2 linked regions of the Callithrix jacchus genome follow. The protein of the gene in region 2 interacts with the protein of the main gene of each other region in a biochemical or structural test. Links are inferred from orthologs where the notes say so. Each region holds a gene or a part of one and is shown on either strand. Other genes may lie near its edges.

Region 1 (7,868 bases), on a different chromosome or scaffold from region 2:
TAAAGCAATATTAAGCATATTAATATTTTTAAGGGGCAGTTTAATACATGGCACAACAATTGTGTTTACTATGCATTTAGTAAATATTTCTCTTGGCAGCAAGGGTAGTCTATGGCTAAATTTTACATGCACTAATAGTAACAGTGTTACTCTAAATTTTCAGTGTAATTATTCTCCCTCTTTGATTTTTATTTTATCAGTCTACCTGTACATGCCCAGAATAAGCTACCTTAGATGAGAAAATCGTGGTCTTTGGAATCAGGCCTGGGTTCAGGTTCTAGGTTTACCACTTACAAACTTTAGAACACTGGCCAAATTAGTGAATTTCTCCAAACCTGTTTGTTTAATTTTTTGCATGGACTTAATGACTGCAGAGTTGTGAGAATTCAATAAGGATTATATAGGACAATACAGGAAAAAGTAGTCTAGATCATTACATGGTTTGTTCTCAAGTGTTCTCTTAAGAAACTTTTTCTAAATAGATGAATTATAGTATTTTAAATTAGTATTGCTAGTATACCGTTCATTTATATCTATAAATTCTGACCGGTGCATCCTCTCAATGTAATTGATGTATCTTATTCAAAATATGAAATTAGAATTAAGGGAGTGAATACTGCAGAGCTTGATGAGATGCTTGATCTCATAATCATGTGGAGGAGGCACGTTGGTAGAAAGGGCAGGATGGTGTAGTGGTTAAGAGGGGATCTCTACAGTCAAAACTGTCCTAGGTTCAGTACAGACTTGGTTGTGTGACCTGGGCATGTTACTTGTTGATTCTGTTTCCTCATCTGTAAAATGAGGATAATAATTAACTATGTTATAGGGACAGTAGTAAGGATTAAATGAAATTGCATGTAAAATATTTAGCACACTGCCTGGCATATGTCAAGTACCCAATAAATATTAACTGTAACAATTGTATTTGTTATTAGTTTGCAAATTGTTGATTGTGTGTTTAATGCCTGTTGTCTAAGTATGTAGTACTTTTTTTTCCCCTAAAGGCAATAAAGATATTTTATTTACATACAAACTTGATTGAAATACTTTTTGGGAAATGTGAAATAAAGTGAATTTTAATTGTCCTGGTAGTTGTATACAAGTTATAGAATATTACCAAGATTTTTTTTTTAATTTATGGAGATTGTAGTGTTAAGTGGGCTCATGTTTTCAAAGAGTTTGAACTAGACCCACATTTCTTGTCCTTGTTTTTTTTTAGACTTAAGAATTCTCTAAGTAAAGCAAAAGCACTGTTAAATAATAGGGGAAGAACTTTTTTCCCTTCCAAAGTTAAGTAAAAATATATTTCTCACCTTAGCAATGGTATGTTTTATGTTCAAGAAATAAGACTGAGAAATCTTTTTTGTTAAAGTAACTTTAAGCATATTTAATATTTGATTATAATTCTACTGCAGATACTTTTGACTGAATGTATTAATATCGATAAACAATGGGAATATATTTAAACCTAGACAGTATCTTAGAATAAGAAAGGGAAAGACCTGTGGTGAGTGTTGGTGGCTACAGTGTTAGATGTTTTCTGCCTTTCTTGTTTACTGAAATCAGTTAAGTTTGAGTTGTTTTCCTTTAATTCTGCTTTTTATGGGTTTTGTAATTTTTTAAGAAATTTGAGCAAGAAAAAAGTGTGACAGAGCGCTGTATTCAATCTGAAATAGTGATCATTTCTTTTATTTGGAAATAGTTTCTACTATATGAATGCTTATAATTTTAAAATACATTTTCAAAATTAGTTATTTCATATTTAATGTGAATGTATGATAATTAGCAAGTATACAAATTAGTACAACTAAAATTGGGTCATAATTTTATGATTAGTCTTTAAAGCATTTGAAGTAGAAATTTTGGATTATTAGAAGTCATAGCTTTAACATAAAATGGAAGGAGCAAAGTATGTACAGTTATAACTTTTAGTTAGAAGAGGGAAAGAAATTAGGAACATTAAGGAGAAGCACACAGGAGATTCAGTAACTTGAGGGTGACTAAGTGATTACTTTTACCCAGGTTTGAATGGGGAAAGAATGTAGAAGAATTCAAAATTGATTAGAAGAAAAGAGTCTGGGAAGAATTCAGGTTAAGAAGTTAATAATCTTTAAATTAATGTAAGAGATTATTTTTTCCCCTTATATTTGGCATCTGGTTCAGATTCGGTAAATAATCCAGACCAATTTTAGTCTCAGGACCAAGTTCATTCTTAACAGTTTTGAGTCCCTAGTGCCTGGAAAAGGGAATAAAGTTGTGACGTTCAGAATCAGAGTTAAACTAATTAGAAAAACTCCCTTTCCTGAAAGAACTGGTTAAGGGAGTTTTCTGTGATGTAGGAGACTGATTATAAATGTGTTACAACATGCCAAACTGGAATGGGTAGCAAGGCTTCTACTTTTGCTAAATGTAATACAGATAGCTAAGTGAGAAGACTCTAGTGTGTGAAGTGATTAATACTTTACTGTAATTAACAACTTCCTCTTCCCTTATAATAATAATTTGCTTGTTTTAAATATACTTTCTACAGGTTAAATGTAATTAATTATAGAGAATTTTTTCTTGAAATATGGAATATAGTAAGGTAATAATTTCAGTAAATAAATTTCTCCAGTCATGTTAAGTATCTGGCTTGTGTAATGTGACATTGACAAAAACACTAAAAGCCAGACTTAAAAATACTGTCAGATTTTTAAAAATGGGGTTAAATCGTCATATGTATAAATAATTTTTGTCTTAAGCTGAAAGCTGGTTTGAGAATAAACTTTATTGAAAGCTATTATCAGTTTTAGAATTCATCCCCTTTTTTCTCTCTAGGACCCAGCCAGTGTCTTAACATTCAGGGCATTCATTTCATTAAGTTGGACAGTTTCGTTGTTGTTGTTGTTGTTGTTGTTGTTTTGTAGGAGAGAAATTAGAATGCTTTAGGTTAAGTCTATTTGAGAGTAAGAAATGGGCAGTGATCTTTTTGAAATATCTTCTAATACCAAGCTTTCAAATTTTTCAACCGTAAGTACAATTTTATGACCTTATTTGTCTCAGTCCCTAGAATAGTATATAGGAAGCACTTACTATATTGTTACTCTGGCCGGGCACAGTGGCTCATGCCTGTAATCTTAGGACTCTGGGAGACTGAGATGGGAGGATTGCTAAAGGCCAGGAGTTCAAGATCAGCCTGGTCAACAGTGAAAGTGTAAGAGTGAGTGTGTGTGTGTGTGTGTGTGTTAATCTGCAAGTCCTGTTGAGCCATATGAAATTGCCAATCAAAACTGACTTGAAAAATCTATAGGAAGGACAGTTTTGTATGATTTAATCTAGTTCCAACCTTGATTTGGAAATTATATGATTGTGCTGTCTTTGGATGCTCTGCTAACTATTGATTTAAAGTAGAGTAAAAAAAGTTGCTTTGTATTTATTAAGTGGTTCCATTTTGTTTAAAATCAGAGTTCTGAACAAGTAGGTCGTTAGTAACTTACTTGATCAGTTAACAGGGAAGGGGACTTTAAGGGGAGAGGAGACTATTTACAGTGATATTTAACTTAAATTTATAAAGATTTTTTTTGTTTGAAATTGTTCAGAGTACTATTAGATATTTTCTAAAGTGAAATATTGGAGTTTTGGTATAAATGGTTTCTTATATTGCTGTGGATAGCACATGAGAATGGTGTAAGCATCTTTCATTCAAGATCAAATTGTGAAATGCAATTTTATTCTGACTTACTGTAACCAACATTTATTTATATTCAGTCTCCTTTATCCACCTTTAAAGGATAGCAGTGACCTATTTGAATAACTTGTATATACTTTCCTTCTGAAATAACACAGATTTCTTTGTTTTTAGTGCCACCATGGCAACTGCACCATACAACTACTCTTACATCTTTAAATATATTATTATTGGTAAGTTTATTTAACCTATGCTCTTGTTCCCGAAAGAACGTTAACATACAAAATATTTATTTATTTTTGCATTAGCAGTGCAGCTTTTGCACTGTGTCCCTGGATACTTCTTTGATAAAGTGCTGGGTACCTTGTGAAGTGATGTTGGTTGTTCTTGAGGGCTGCTTCAAAACTTGTTAATGCTAGGAAGTATCAGTGTTTTTCCCAAAATATTATGAAAGCTCTCAGATCCCCCTGGGTTCCAAAAATTGATAGAGAATGTTGTTTCATTTCAAATCAGTTGTGTAATATACATAAAATATAGTATTCCTCTTAATTGGTATTTTTTTTCTTAAGTTTCAAGAAGGTTTTGCTCAAATTGTCTTAATGCTATCTATCCAAACATAATTATAAAACTACATTTGAAAGTGCACATGCTTTTCAGTGAACAATTTGCTTTAATTTTGAACTTAAATGTGTCTTTATGTTTCCTTGATCAAGGGTTAACATTGCTATAGTACAGTCAGAGATGACATCTTTTCTCCTGGGGTATTCATGTAATGCAGATTCTTTTCTTTCATAGACTGTTGAAAGAAGTTTAAGACAGGGACCTAGTGAATCAGACTCCCAGAACTCAGTTTGTTATTTCTGCTTGTTACATGCTACCCCATTTGTCACTCTTTGGAATCTTTTGCTTCTGTGCATGAGTTAAAGGAAAAATAAAATAAAATTTTGAAACAGCTCAAAGTAAAAAATACCATTAAAAAATAAGCACTTCAAGACCAGGCGTGGTGGCTCACACCTGTAATCCCAGCACTTTGGGAGGCCGAGGCGGTGGATCATGAGGTCAAGAGATTGAGACCATCCTGGCCAACAGGTCTCTTCTAAAAATACAAAATTAGCTGGGCATGATGGTGCATTCCTGTAGCCCTAGCTACTTGGGAGGCTGAGGCAGGAGAATTGCTTGAACCCGGGATGCAAGGGATTGCGGTGAGCCAAGATTGCGCCACTGCACTCCAGCCTGGAAACAGCGAGACTCTGTGTCAAAAATAAAAAATAAAAAAAGCACTTCCCAGCTCGTGGTTAGTTATTAACATAATAATTATAATTTATAACCGGATTTTTTCACTGCTAAAGATTGGGAATTATAATAGTCCATTTGTGTTTCACAGTGAAAACTTTTGAATTGTTATAAAGTAGAAAAATAAAAATTTGTTAAGTGTCCCAGAAATTTCTGATGTTATATGGTAAGGAATATAGCAGTCATTGTATAACATTAAGAAATGTCATTGGCACCTGAAACTTTTTTTTTTTAAACAGGGGACATGGGAGTAGGAAAATCTTGCTTGCTTCATCAATTTACAGAAAAAAAATGTAAGTTGAATACAGGAGGTAAAACATTGTTTTCTTTACTGTCATATTTCTACTTTTTAAAAAGTGTCATTTTCAGTGTACTTCATGTATTTAAAGATATCCTTTCCCTATATTTGCACTTTTTTTTAAATGGGTACAGATAAAATGAAATATACCAGCATATTTTAGTGTTGATTTTTATACACATTATATAATCTGATTCACTTGTTTTGACTTCTTCATGTTAAAAAGTTTTTAAAAATACGGCCGGGTGCGGTGGCTCAAGCCTGTAATCCCAGCACTTTGGGAGGCTGAGGCGGTTGGATCACAAGGTCAAGAGATAGAGACCATCCTGGTCAACAAGGTGAAACCCCATCTCTACTAAAAATACAAAAAATTAGCTGGGCATGGTGGCACGTGCCTGTAATCCCAGCTACTCAGGAGGCTGAGGCGGGAGAATTGCCTGAACCCAGGAGGCAGAGGTTGCAGTGAGCAGAGATCGTGCCATTGCACTCCAGCCTGGGTAACAAGAGCGAGACTCCGTCTCCCAAAAAAAAAAAAATAAGTTTTTAAAAATACATTAAAAATGTCAAACATAATCTCCTTTTTATTCTCTGACTTTCTGTATTAAGAGAAATTTGCAGCATGTATCATTTGTTAAATAACAGATTTGAAATACTTATAATGGAATTCTTTCTATTCTTTCTTGGGTGATAGAAGGGGCCAATTTGTTGTAACTGATATGCTAAATATAGTTGAAAACGTTTCTGTATAGTTGAAAGTATTTGACATTTTTGTGCTGCTTACTTACCACAGAGGTTTGATGTAACATTTTATGAAGTGCCCAGTGGTCTATGTCCTTGTACTGGAGAATAGTGGGTTTAGGTTTTAAGTGGCTTCATTATAAGGAAAGGACTAGTAAATTTGTTCTATTGGTGTAGACATATATAACTAATATATATAACTTGTATTATAAGAAGTATCTACTAGCTAGCTGTGGTGGCTCACTTCTGTAATCCCAGTAGCGCTTTGGGAGGCTTACATGGGAGGTTTGCTTGAGCCCAGAAGTTCGTGATTACAGTGAGCTCTGATTGTACCACTGCATTCCAAGATGGGTGACAGCAAGTCCCTGTCTGTAAATTATATGTATATATATGTAAAACATGATGATTTTCTTCAAGATAGATATTTTCTGGGATAGGAATCTGTTTGACTAACAAATCCAAGAGCCCTAAGACCATTGATTGATCTGTTATAGGTAATGATTATAAGAAGGCTAAATGGTATCATATTGACAATGTGAAGAGTTTATTAAAATCCTTATTTTTACTTAGCTAATTATTTTAGTTGAGGGGTCAGCAAACTGTGGCCAGTGACCCAGTCACTGCCTGTTTTGTGAATAAAATTTACTGAGATACAGCCATGCCTGTTTTATATATTGTCTCTGGCTGCTTTTCTGCCTCGGTGGCAGAGTTGATAGCTTTTGACAAAGATCTTTTGACCTACAAAACTTAAAATATTTTCTGCTTGGTCCTTTCCAGAAGTTTGCTGACCCTGATTTTAGTTCAGCCACATTTCTCTGACTTCTTACTTCTAGGTCTTTGTTAAATTTTTTTTTTCCAGTGGTAGCTTAAGTCTATTTATAGCCTTTAAGTATTAGTAAATAATTGGCTTATTTAGTGGATTTCCCCACTCTAGGCTTCATTTGAAGTTTTCTGAAAATTGGGCTATTACTTTTTTTCCTCCCTAACAGTTATGGCTGATTGTCCTCACACAATTGGTGTCGAATTTGGTACAAGAATAATCGAAGTTAGTGGCCAAAAAATAAAACTGCAGATTTGGGATACGGCAGGACAGGAGCGATTTAGGGCTGTTACACGGAGCTACTACAGAGGAGCTGCAGGAGCTCTTATGGTCTATGATATCACTAGGTAAGAGATTAATAATTTTTCAATCTTTATACTGGAAAAATAAATCTACTTTGGCCATTGTTGAAGTTTGTAATATGACTGTAAATGAACTTATTTGGTTTTTATGGTTTCTTCTCTAAGTTACCATGTAAAACTTGATATAACACATTGATACTCTTTTACGAAAGTTGGTATGACTGTACAAAAATTTAGCGAGATGTTGTGTAAAGCTAATAGAAGAAGACAGTTCTGAAAAGCAACTTCAGTTGAATGATTTGAGGAGAAATAATATTTTATGTAAAATGTTCTTTCAAGTAGAAAGCAAGCAACTCTTGTGAGTTACTCTATTTAGTCTCTAGTGTTAAAGTTTACACCTCTCAAAAGAAGGCAAGGCAGAGTTTTGCTAATCTAGCATGGCAGATTATAAAAAATTTTACACTTGCATCTGAAAGTGTGTGAGTATGTATGTATGTATTTGTTTATTTATTTTTGTCTTAAAATGGATTGAAGTGACTTCAAATACTATGTACAGTATGTTTAAATTTATTTCAACATGAGTGTTTCTGGAATTCCAAAGCACTCGATGTAAAGTAATAAAACTGTACTGTATGTAAAAGTTTGACTTTGGAGAACATGAAAAACTGTGCCACTTGATTAGACCCTGCACTGTCTTATCTACTGTAAACTAGAAGATGGACTAGATCACCTTTCATGTTGATGTAAAGT
Region 2 (8,619 bases):
CAATCTCAGCTCACTGCAACCTTTGTTTCCTGGGTTCAAGTGATTCTCATGCCACAGCTTCCCAAGTAGGTGAGAATACAGGCACACCATGGTGCCTGGCTAATTTCTGTATTTTAAATAAAGACAGGGTTTCACCATGTTGGCCAGGCTGGTCTCGAACTCCTGGCCTCAACTGATTGGCCACCTCAGTCTTTCAAAGTGCTGGGATTACAGGCATGAGCCACCGTTCCCGGCCACCACAAAACTTTAATTTGTTAAAAAAGAAATAAAGCGAAGCACCATAAGATGGGCCGGACGCAGTGGCTCATGCCTGTAAATCCTAGCACTTGGGGAGGCTGAGGTGGGCAGATCACAAGGTCAGGAATTTGAGACCAGCCTGGCCAGCACAGTGAAACCCCATCTCTACTAAAAAAAAAAAAACAAAAATTAGCTGGTCACGATGGCTTGCCTGTAGTTCCAGCTACTCAGGAGGCTGAGGCAGGAGAATCGCTTGAACCCGGGAGGTGGAGGTTGCAGTGAGCCAAGATAACGCCACTGCACTCCAGCCTGGGCAACAGAGCAAGACTCTGACTCAAAAAAAAAAAAAGAGATGTATTTCAATATATAAATGAGGCACAACTACCACTGAAATAACATAGCCAGACATTTGCAAGTGTAGTTCTGAACAAATCAATTTAGCTACATTCCAGGAAAATTTAGGGTACACTTACAGTAATCGTTACACTGCTCACAAAGATTTCCAGTTCTGCTTTTTCTAGACAGAAGTAGGTCTAAACTTCCCAACTCCCTAGAAATTAAACGTGGCCATGTGATTTGTCATTCAAGGCTAGTGCAGGTAATGTTTATGCAAAACTCCGAACAGGGCCTGAGAGACTACTATGAGTTGGGGCAGAGTACTCACCCCATCTACATTGACATGTAGCACAATGGGAAATGAACTTTTAGGTTAAGCCATTGAGATTTGAGGGTTACTTGTTACTGAAGGTTACTTGTAACCTTGCCTGATAAATATTGAAACTGTTCTGTGCAAAAAGAGTTTATGTTTTTCTGCAAAATGAAATTCAGTTCCAGGCTCTGATCATTATAAACAAGCTTTTCACCTACATAAATGTCCAGCAGCATTGGAAAGTCAGGAAGGATTCAGGACAATTCTGTTATTCTAGACGATTTTCATCCCTGTCTACCCACACCCAGTAAACACTAGAAGGATGCCCTCAATCTTTATACAACTCAAACACCAACTCCACAAATTCCCAAAACACTCCCATATGAACTGGCCTTTAGGGACCAGACATATCACAAAAACTAGTGCTGTGGGCTGGACCAAAACAGGTCCAGGGAGCAGCTGGGCTTCTAAAGAGGCAACACAGTTCACTCCCAATTGTTTGGTGCCATCAGGGAATATACCATGAATTACCAAATCTTCTAGTGATTCCAGGGAAAGCTAAAATGCAGATTCTATGTGAAATCGTTTGATTTCTCAATATTGGCAACAACTTTTAAAGATTTTTAAATATTCTGGGAACCAAACAAAACAGTTCTGCTGGTTTGGTGTGGCTCATGTTGCCTCACTTTGCAAAGTGTTAAGTGCTAGTGAACTTTTTGTGTTTTTTTGAGACAGGGTCCCACTCTGTCGCCCAGGCTGGAGTACAGTGGCCATGACCTCCACTCACCATAGGCTCGACCTCCCGGGCTCAAGCAAACCTTCCACCCTCAGCCCCACAAGGAGCTGGGAGTACAGCTGCCCCGCCACCGGAGCCAGCTAATTATTATTATTATTGGTATTTTAGTAGATATGGGGTTTCACTATGTTGGCCAAGCTGGTCTGAACTCTTGGTGTCAAGTGATCCACCTTCCTCAGCCTTCCAAAGTGCTGAGATTAAAGGTGTGCGCTACCCCGCACAATCGGAAAAAAAAAGTTGTTTTTTGAGACAGTCTCTGTTGCCAGGCAGGAGTGCAATAGCGCGATCTTGGCTCACTGCAACCTCCGCCTTCCAGGTTCAAGCGTTTCTCCTGCCTTAGCCTCCCCAGTAGCTGGGGCTACAGGCACGCACCACCATGCCCAGCTAATTTTTGTATTTTTAGTAGAGACAGGGTTTCACCATGTTGGCCAGGATGGTCTCGTGTGGGGATTGCTTCCGTGTGAGGCCCCTAGGAAATGGGCCTCAACATACGGTGAGCTTGAGCCCGGACACAGATCCCTGGTTGGGGGAGTCGAGCTGAGGGAAAGCAGGAACTGAGAGAGGGACTACGTTATTCAAAATAATTAACAGACATTACTTTATGGATATGAGGACATGGGAAGCATTGTGTCTACTTTCGGCTTCTTATGGTTTATTGCTTGATTGTGTCCATTTTGGACCCTTGTTACCTTCATTGTAAAATATTAACTTAAGTATTTACACTTGGTAACTTACTTATCATAACTTACTGGGTGTAACTGTAACTTACTTACCATAACTTACTGGGCTTGACTGTAACTTACTTACCTTGACCTATTGGGTGTAACCTACTTACTGGGCGTAACCTACTTACTGGACTTAACTTACTTACTGGGCGTAACTTAGAGGGTGTAACTTGCTTACTGTAACTTAAGTACATTGATCTAGCATAAACAACTTTGACTTCAGAAAAGTATATAATGAAACGTATTGCAAAAATAAAATTGCTGCTTGGACATAGCCTAAGCAAGCCCTCCAGACCCCGCTTTTCTCTTTTCTTTCCCTTCCGCGCACTCTCTCCCTCAGGTTGAACGAGACATTTAGTTGGCGGTCTCGCGGACTCCCGCAGGTCGGCAGCCCCTCGGCAGACATGCCGGACTCCAACAGTCTCAATCTCTCGAGCTCATGATCTGCCTGCCTCGGCGTCCCAAGGTATTAGAATTACAGGCGTGAGCCACCGCGCCTGGTCAAAATTTTACTCTGCATTTAGTGAAATTCTCTTCTTTTCCAAGTGAAGAAACAGATTGAATAACTCTGTCCAAGTGTATAGTGACTTACACAGGCCACATAGTTGTATACTGTAGTTAGTGACAATCGCTAACATCTGCCATGTGGTCCTTACTGCAAATCTCGTTCGTGTGTGTTGCGGGGGAAGAGAGAAAAAGAGGGGGGAGGGGGAGAGGGAGACAGAGACAGAGAGGCAGACAGACAGACAGACACACACACATACACACACGAAGTTTCACTCTTGTTGCCCAGCCTTGAGTGCAATGGCCAGATGTTGGCTTACCGCAACCTCCGCCTCCCAGGTTCAAGCGATTTTGGGAGCCTGCCTCAGCCTCCTAAAGTGCTGGGATTACAGGGATGAGCCACCGTGCCCGGTTGCAAATCTTATTTAATAATGAGGTCAGCTTTTTGTTATCCCACTTAACTAATTAATAGGAGAAGCCAGCTCTGATTTCCAGTGCACTATGGTGCACTCTTTCCTGCCAAGCCGTCGTAGTCATTCGATTAAAAAAAGAAATTCCTGCTTTCCTGCCTCGCCTGTGCGTTTCCTTAGTCGCCCTTTCAGGGCCTGTTCTCATGAGTGCCGCAGAAAAACGACGAAGTGAAAATACAGAACATAAAATGAAAATTTAAAAGAGGAAATGGTGTCACAAGGAAAACGAAGGCCAGGGGACCCCGTGAAGCGCCAGGCAGGGTGCACAACGGTCCTGGGAGAAAGTTCAAGAAGAACTTCCCGCGAACAGGTCCCGCCGGCGGCCAGGAATGCATGCACTTCTTACGTTATGATTTGGACTTTACCGAACCTCTTGAAGCGGAAGGAAGGCTTGGCAGTGAGGAAGTCGAATCCGGCAAACCAAAGAGAAAGGCGGTGCCCAGCCGCGCCCGCTCGCCCGCTGGGTCACGTGACACGGCCAAGATGGCCGACCGGGTAAGAGGCTGCCATGTGAGTTTGGAGCCGGAGCCCGGGCCGCAGCTGGCGCCCGGGTCAGAGCTCGAGCCGGAAGAAGAGTTCGAAGTTGTGGATCGAAGCCAGCTGCCTTGCCCCGGCGACCTGCCTAACGCATCGAGGCGGCGGGAGGCGGAGAGCTGGTCCGCGCCCATCCTGACCCTGGCCCGCAGGGCCACGGGGAACCTCTCGGCGGGCTGCGGGAGCGCGCTGCGCGCGGCCACGGGGCTGGGCGGCGGGGACGACGGGGACGGCGCGGCGCGCGCAGGTAGGCTTGGGCCAGGTCTGTCCCGCGGACCCGCGTGTCCCCGCTGGCCGCCGGCGCGGGCGCGGTGGGGACCAGGCTTGGAGGGCACGGCCTGCCCGGCAGGTTACGGGAGCTGTTGGTCGGCGGGCGGCGCCTGGCTGTGCGTGGGTCTTTACCCTGGCGGTTAAGCCGAGACCGCACCCCTGCAGCCCCGCGTACCTGAGCGCGCTCCCGCACCCGCGCTTCTATACTCACCCACTAATTAGATGAAGGACCTGTGCGCGTGCAGGCTCCGGGACTCTGTAGTAACTCCACACACGAAACGGAGCTGGCACTCTTCTGCTTTTCAACCACTCGGTGCGGTGAGGGTGTGGGCCCTGTGCGCAGCGGACCCAGCAGTGCCTCGGTTCACCAGCCGTACCTCCGCTCACCTCTGGCTGTGAGATGGGGATTTTAAAGTCACCCGATGATCTCTTAAAGACGTTTTCAGCCCCTGTAATGAATAGAGTGCCAGCATATCAGTGACAGTAAGATTTTGATTTAGCCCTCTAACTCCAGGCATCCAGAGCTGTGATGTCCAATACAGCAGCACGTATATGTTTTGTTTGTTTTGTTATTGTTGGGTTTTTGTGTTTTTTTTGTTTGTTTTCGAGACAGAGTCTCGATCTGTCAGCCAGGCTGGAGTGCAGTAGCGCGGTCTCGGCTCACTACAACTTCTGCCTCCCGGGTTCAAGCGGTCTCTGCATCAGCCTCCCAAGTAGCTGGGATTACAGGTGCCCACTACCACGCCCGGCTAATTTTTTTGTGTTTTTAGTGGAGACGGGGTTTCACCACCTTGGCCAGACTGGTCTTGAACTTCTAACCGTGATCCATCCACCTCAGCCTCCCAAAGTGCTGGGATTACAGGCGTGAGCCACTGTGCCCGGCCAGCAGCACACTTAGTTTAAATGTAAGATTAAAATTCTATTGAAAAATTACATCTCTCAATTTTTTTTTCCCGAGGTGGAGTTTCACTCTTGTTGCCCAGGCTGGAGTACAATGTTGGGATCTCGACCAATTCTCCTGCCTCAGGCTCCAGAGTAGCTGGGATTAGAGGCATGCGTCACCATGCCCAGGTAATTTTTTTTTGGAGACAGAATCTCATTCTGTCACACAGACGAGAGTGCAGTGGCTTGATCTCAGCTCCCTGCAACCTCAGCCTCCTGGGTTCAAGCAGTTCTCCTGCGTCAGCCTCCTGAGTAGCTGGGACTACAGACATGCCCACAGTCGGCTAATTTTTCTATTTTTAGTAGAGATGGGGTTTCACCATCTTGCCCAGGCTGGTCTTGAACTCCTGACCTTAGGTGATCTGCCTGCCTCGGCCTCCCAAAGTGCTGGGATTACAGGCTTGAGCCACTGCACCTGGCCGTCGCCCGGCTACACTTGTATCTTTAGTAGAGACAGGTTTCTCCATGTTAGTCAGGCTGGTCTCGAACTCCCGACCTTAGGCCACCCCCCCCACCCCCACCTTGGCATCCCAAAGTGCTGGGATTACAGGTGTGAGCCACCATGCCTGGCCGAATTGAATACTTTTAAATTGGAATAAAAATTGAGTGCCTGGATTACAGCGGCCACATTTTAAGTACTCGGTGGCCTTTGTCTGGCCAGTGGCTACTGATATGGGATAGTGCAGCATAGAAAATTTCCAGCTTCGTAGAAAATGCTGGGACAGAGCCAAGGAAAGGCTGTGGTGCCTTCCAAGGAGCATCATAGCACACCCTTGAGGTTTCTGATTCCTCCTCATCCACTGGTACTTTAGCTGATTACTTCAGGTAGTGATTGTGAGATTTTCAGTGGTTAAGAATGATTAATTAATAAAGTTAAAAGGCTGACTCGTTTTGAGATCCTGGCAGTGGAAAGTAGCATTAGAGGGTGATGAGATTCTGTGCAGCCCGGGAATCAGGTTCCCACTAGCTTGACACCTATTCCCAAGACTTTTTCACACATCAGTGGATGCTGGATTGCATACTCATTGACAGTCAGTACTGAAAGTCAGGCATGACATCTTCTGGGGGCTCTTAGATTTTCATGGCAGGAGTAAGCAAATAATAAATGTTAGTTCTTCCCTGATAAGTAAAATTTCCTTCCTTTAATGCAGAATCAAGGAAAAAAATTAAAAAGATAAAATGAAATGTGTCTGTACGTAGCACAGAATAATAAGTATTTGCTGAAAAAAATGCATATTTGAAAAATACCTGTTTTCCATCTATGGAAGTGATACAAACAACAGCCACCACTTATATTATCCTTCCAAGGTGCCAGGCATTAGTCTTTTTTTTTTGTCTTTTTTTTTTTGAGACGGAGTTTTGCTCTTGTTACCCAGGCGGAGTGCAATGGCACAATCTCGGCTCACTGCAACCTCTGCCTCCTGGGTTCAGGCAATTCTCCTGCCTCAGCCTCCTGAGTAGCTGGGATTACAGGCACGCGCCACCATGCCCAGCCAATTTTTTGTATCTTTTTTAGTAGAGACGGGGTTTCACCAGGTTGACCAAGGTGGTCTCGATCTTTTGACCTTGTGATCCACCCACCTCGGCCAGGCATTAGTCTTAAATCTGTACAAGTATTCATTTATTCCTTACAACAACCCGATGTGATAGCGGGACTAGCTTCATGTGTGTACGATCAGTGCAGGCTTTGATCACTGTGGTCAAAAGGGCCAGGTACTCAGAAGTGTCCCATGCTTGAAATTCTTAATAATTTTATTTTTGAATTTGTGGCTTTTGAGTGAAGTCAGTCCAATGGGACAGGTTCTCACAGCTGACCCACTTGAGCTGCCCTGGGGCTTCTCCCTACCCTCCCTGATCCTACTCTTGCCCAGGCATCACTGGGGTTGCACCTTCTGAATCTAAGGGCAGGGTGGTGGGTACCACAGCACATTAGGCAGGCAGGTGGACAGGGGCCTCTCACTCGTCGCATCCCTGCAGGGAAGTTGCAATCCATTAGGGCTGTGGTAAGGGGATACTGACTTCTGCACTTTACTCCGGGCCTGGAATTTTGCACTGGGCCTTGCAAATTATGTAGATGGCACTGAATGATGAGTACCAATATTATCCCTGTTTTATAAAGAGGTAAACTAAATTAAAGAGAAGTAACTTCACCAAGTGTAAAATGTCAATGTATATATACCATATGGATTTAAAAAATTAATTTAAGGTAAGTATTAATAACTGCCACTCAATCTAGCAAAAACTGTGACCATGGCTTACAAAGGCATGAAATTCAGGGAACTGCTGAGTAGAGCAGTGTGGCTGGTCCCAGAGGTCACCAGGATTTGAAGCCATCAGGTAGGACATGAGCAGAGACAGGGAACGAAGAAGGGCCAAGGACAGCACACTCTGCAGCAGCCCAAGAAAAGCAGTTTGGGAGAAAGACAGTGACACCACTTCAACCAGGGCCAGGCCCAAGACTGACTCATGATCTCTTCCCCGCTGATCTGCCTACACAGCAATGAAAACAGGCAGGACTTTCAGAAGGAGCAGTTTAGGAGCAGATATTGAATGTGAACAGCACTCTTGCTGCATAACATTTTTGTCAGTGGTAGAGGCTAAAGGAAATGCTGTGGAATGTTTTGAATACTTGTTTTAAAATGTCCCATGTGGGGTCTGGCATGTGATTGCATTGTCCAAGTTATCCTATTTGGTTTGGGGATTCTTTTTTAAGGTAATAAACGAACATGAATTTTTTTTTTTTTTTGAGTCGGAGCCTCACTCTGTTGCCCAGGCTGGAGTGCAGTGGTGTAATCTTGGCTCGCTGCAACCTTTGCCTCCAGAGTAGCTGGGACTACAGGCACCTGCCACCACGGCCAGCTAGTTGTTGTGGTTTTGTTTTGTTTGTTTGTTTTTTTGTATTTTTAGTAGAGATGGGGTTTTACTTTTACTGTGTTAGTGAGGATGGTCTCGATCTCCTGACCCTGTGATCCACCCGCCTCGGCCTCCCAAAGCGCTAGGATTACTGGAGTGAGCCACTGTGCCTAGCTAATGAACATGAATTTTAATAATCAAACCACACAAAAGAATATTCAGTTGAGCGCAGTGACTCAAGGCTGTAATCCCAGCACTTTGGGAGGCCGAGGCAGGTCGATCACTTGAGGTCAGGCATTCAAGACCAGGCTGGCCAACGTGGTGAAACCCCAACTCTACTAAAAATACAAAAATTAGCTGGGCATGGTGGTGCACTTTTGTAATCCTAGCTATTCAGGAGGCTGAGGCAGGAGAATTGAAACTGGGAGGTGGAAGTTGCAGTGAGCGGAAATCGCACCACTGCACTCCAGCCTAGGTGACAAGAACAAAACTCTCTCAAAACAAAACTGACAAATACTGAGTCTTCCTTCCCAGAAAATTTCCCCAGTACTATTGTATCTTTGGGTGTTTCTGCACATAGTACATGTGCTTTCCTTTCTCAACACTGGCTATTTTTACACAAGCAATTAGGATGTACAC

Evidence for each region.
Region 1: the proteins of RUFY1 (region 2) and RAB14 form a complex in vitro, tested with the Homo sapiens proteins (2 studies listed by BioGRID). The link is inferred for Callithrix jacchus from reciprocal best matches to the Homo sapiens genes RUFY1 and RAB14.

Annotation. Positions count from the first base shown.
Region 1 is NC_133502.1:169,591,640-169,599,507, reverse strand, and holds part of RAB14 (ras-related protein Rab-14), read left to right. Parts: intron 1-3,841; 5' UTR 3,842-3,848; coding exon 3,849-3,900; intron 3,901-5,199; coding exon 5,200-5,253; intron 5,254-6,985; coding exon 6,986-7,163; intron 7,164-7,868.
Region 2 is NC_133503.1:72,110,074-72,118,692, reverse strand, and holds the start of RUFY1 (RUN and FYVE domain-containing protein 1), read left to right. Parts: upstream 1-3,850; 5' UTR 3,851-3,864; coding exon 3,865-4,162; intron 4,163-8,619. UniProt on the Homo sapiens protein: Activating adapter involved in cargo sorting from early/recycling endosomes. Regulates retrieval of proteins from endosomes to the trans-Golgi network through interaction with the dynein-dynactin complex.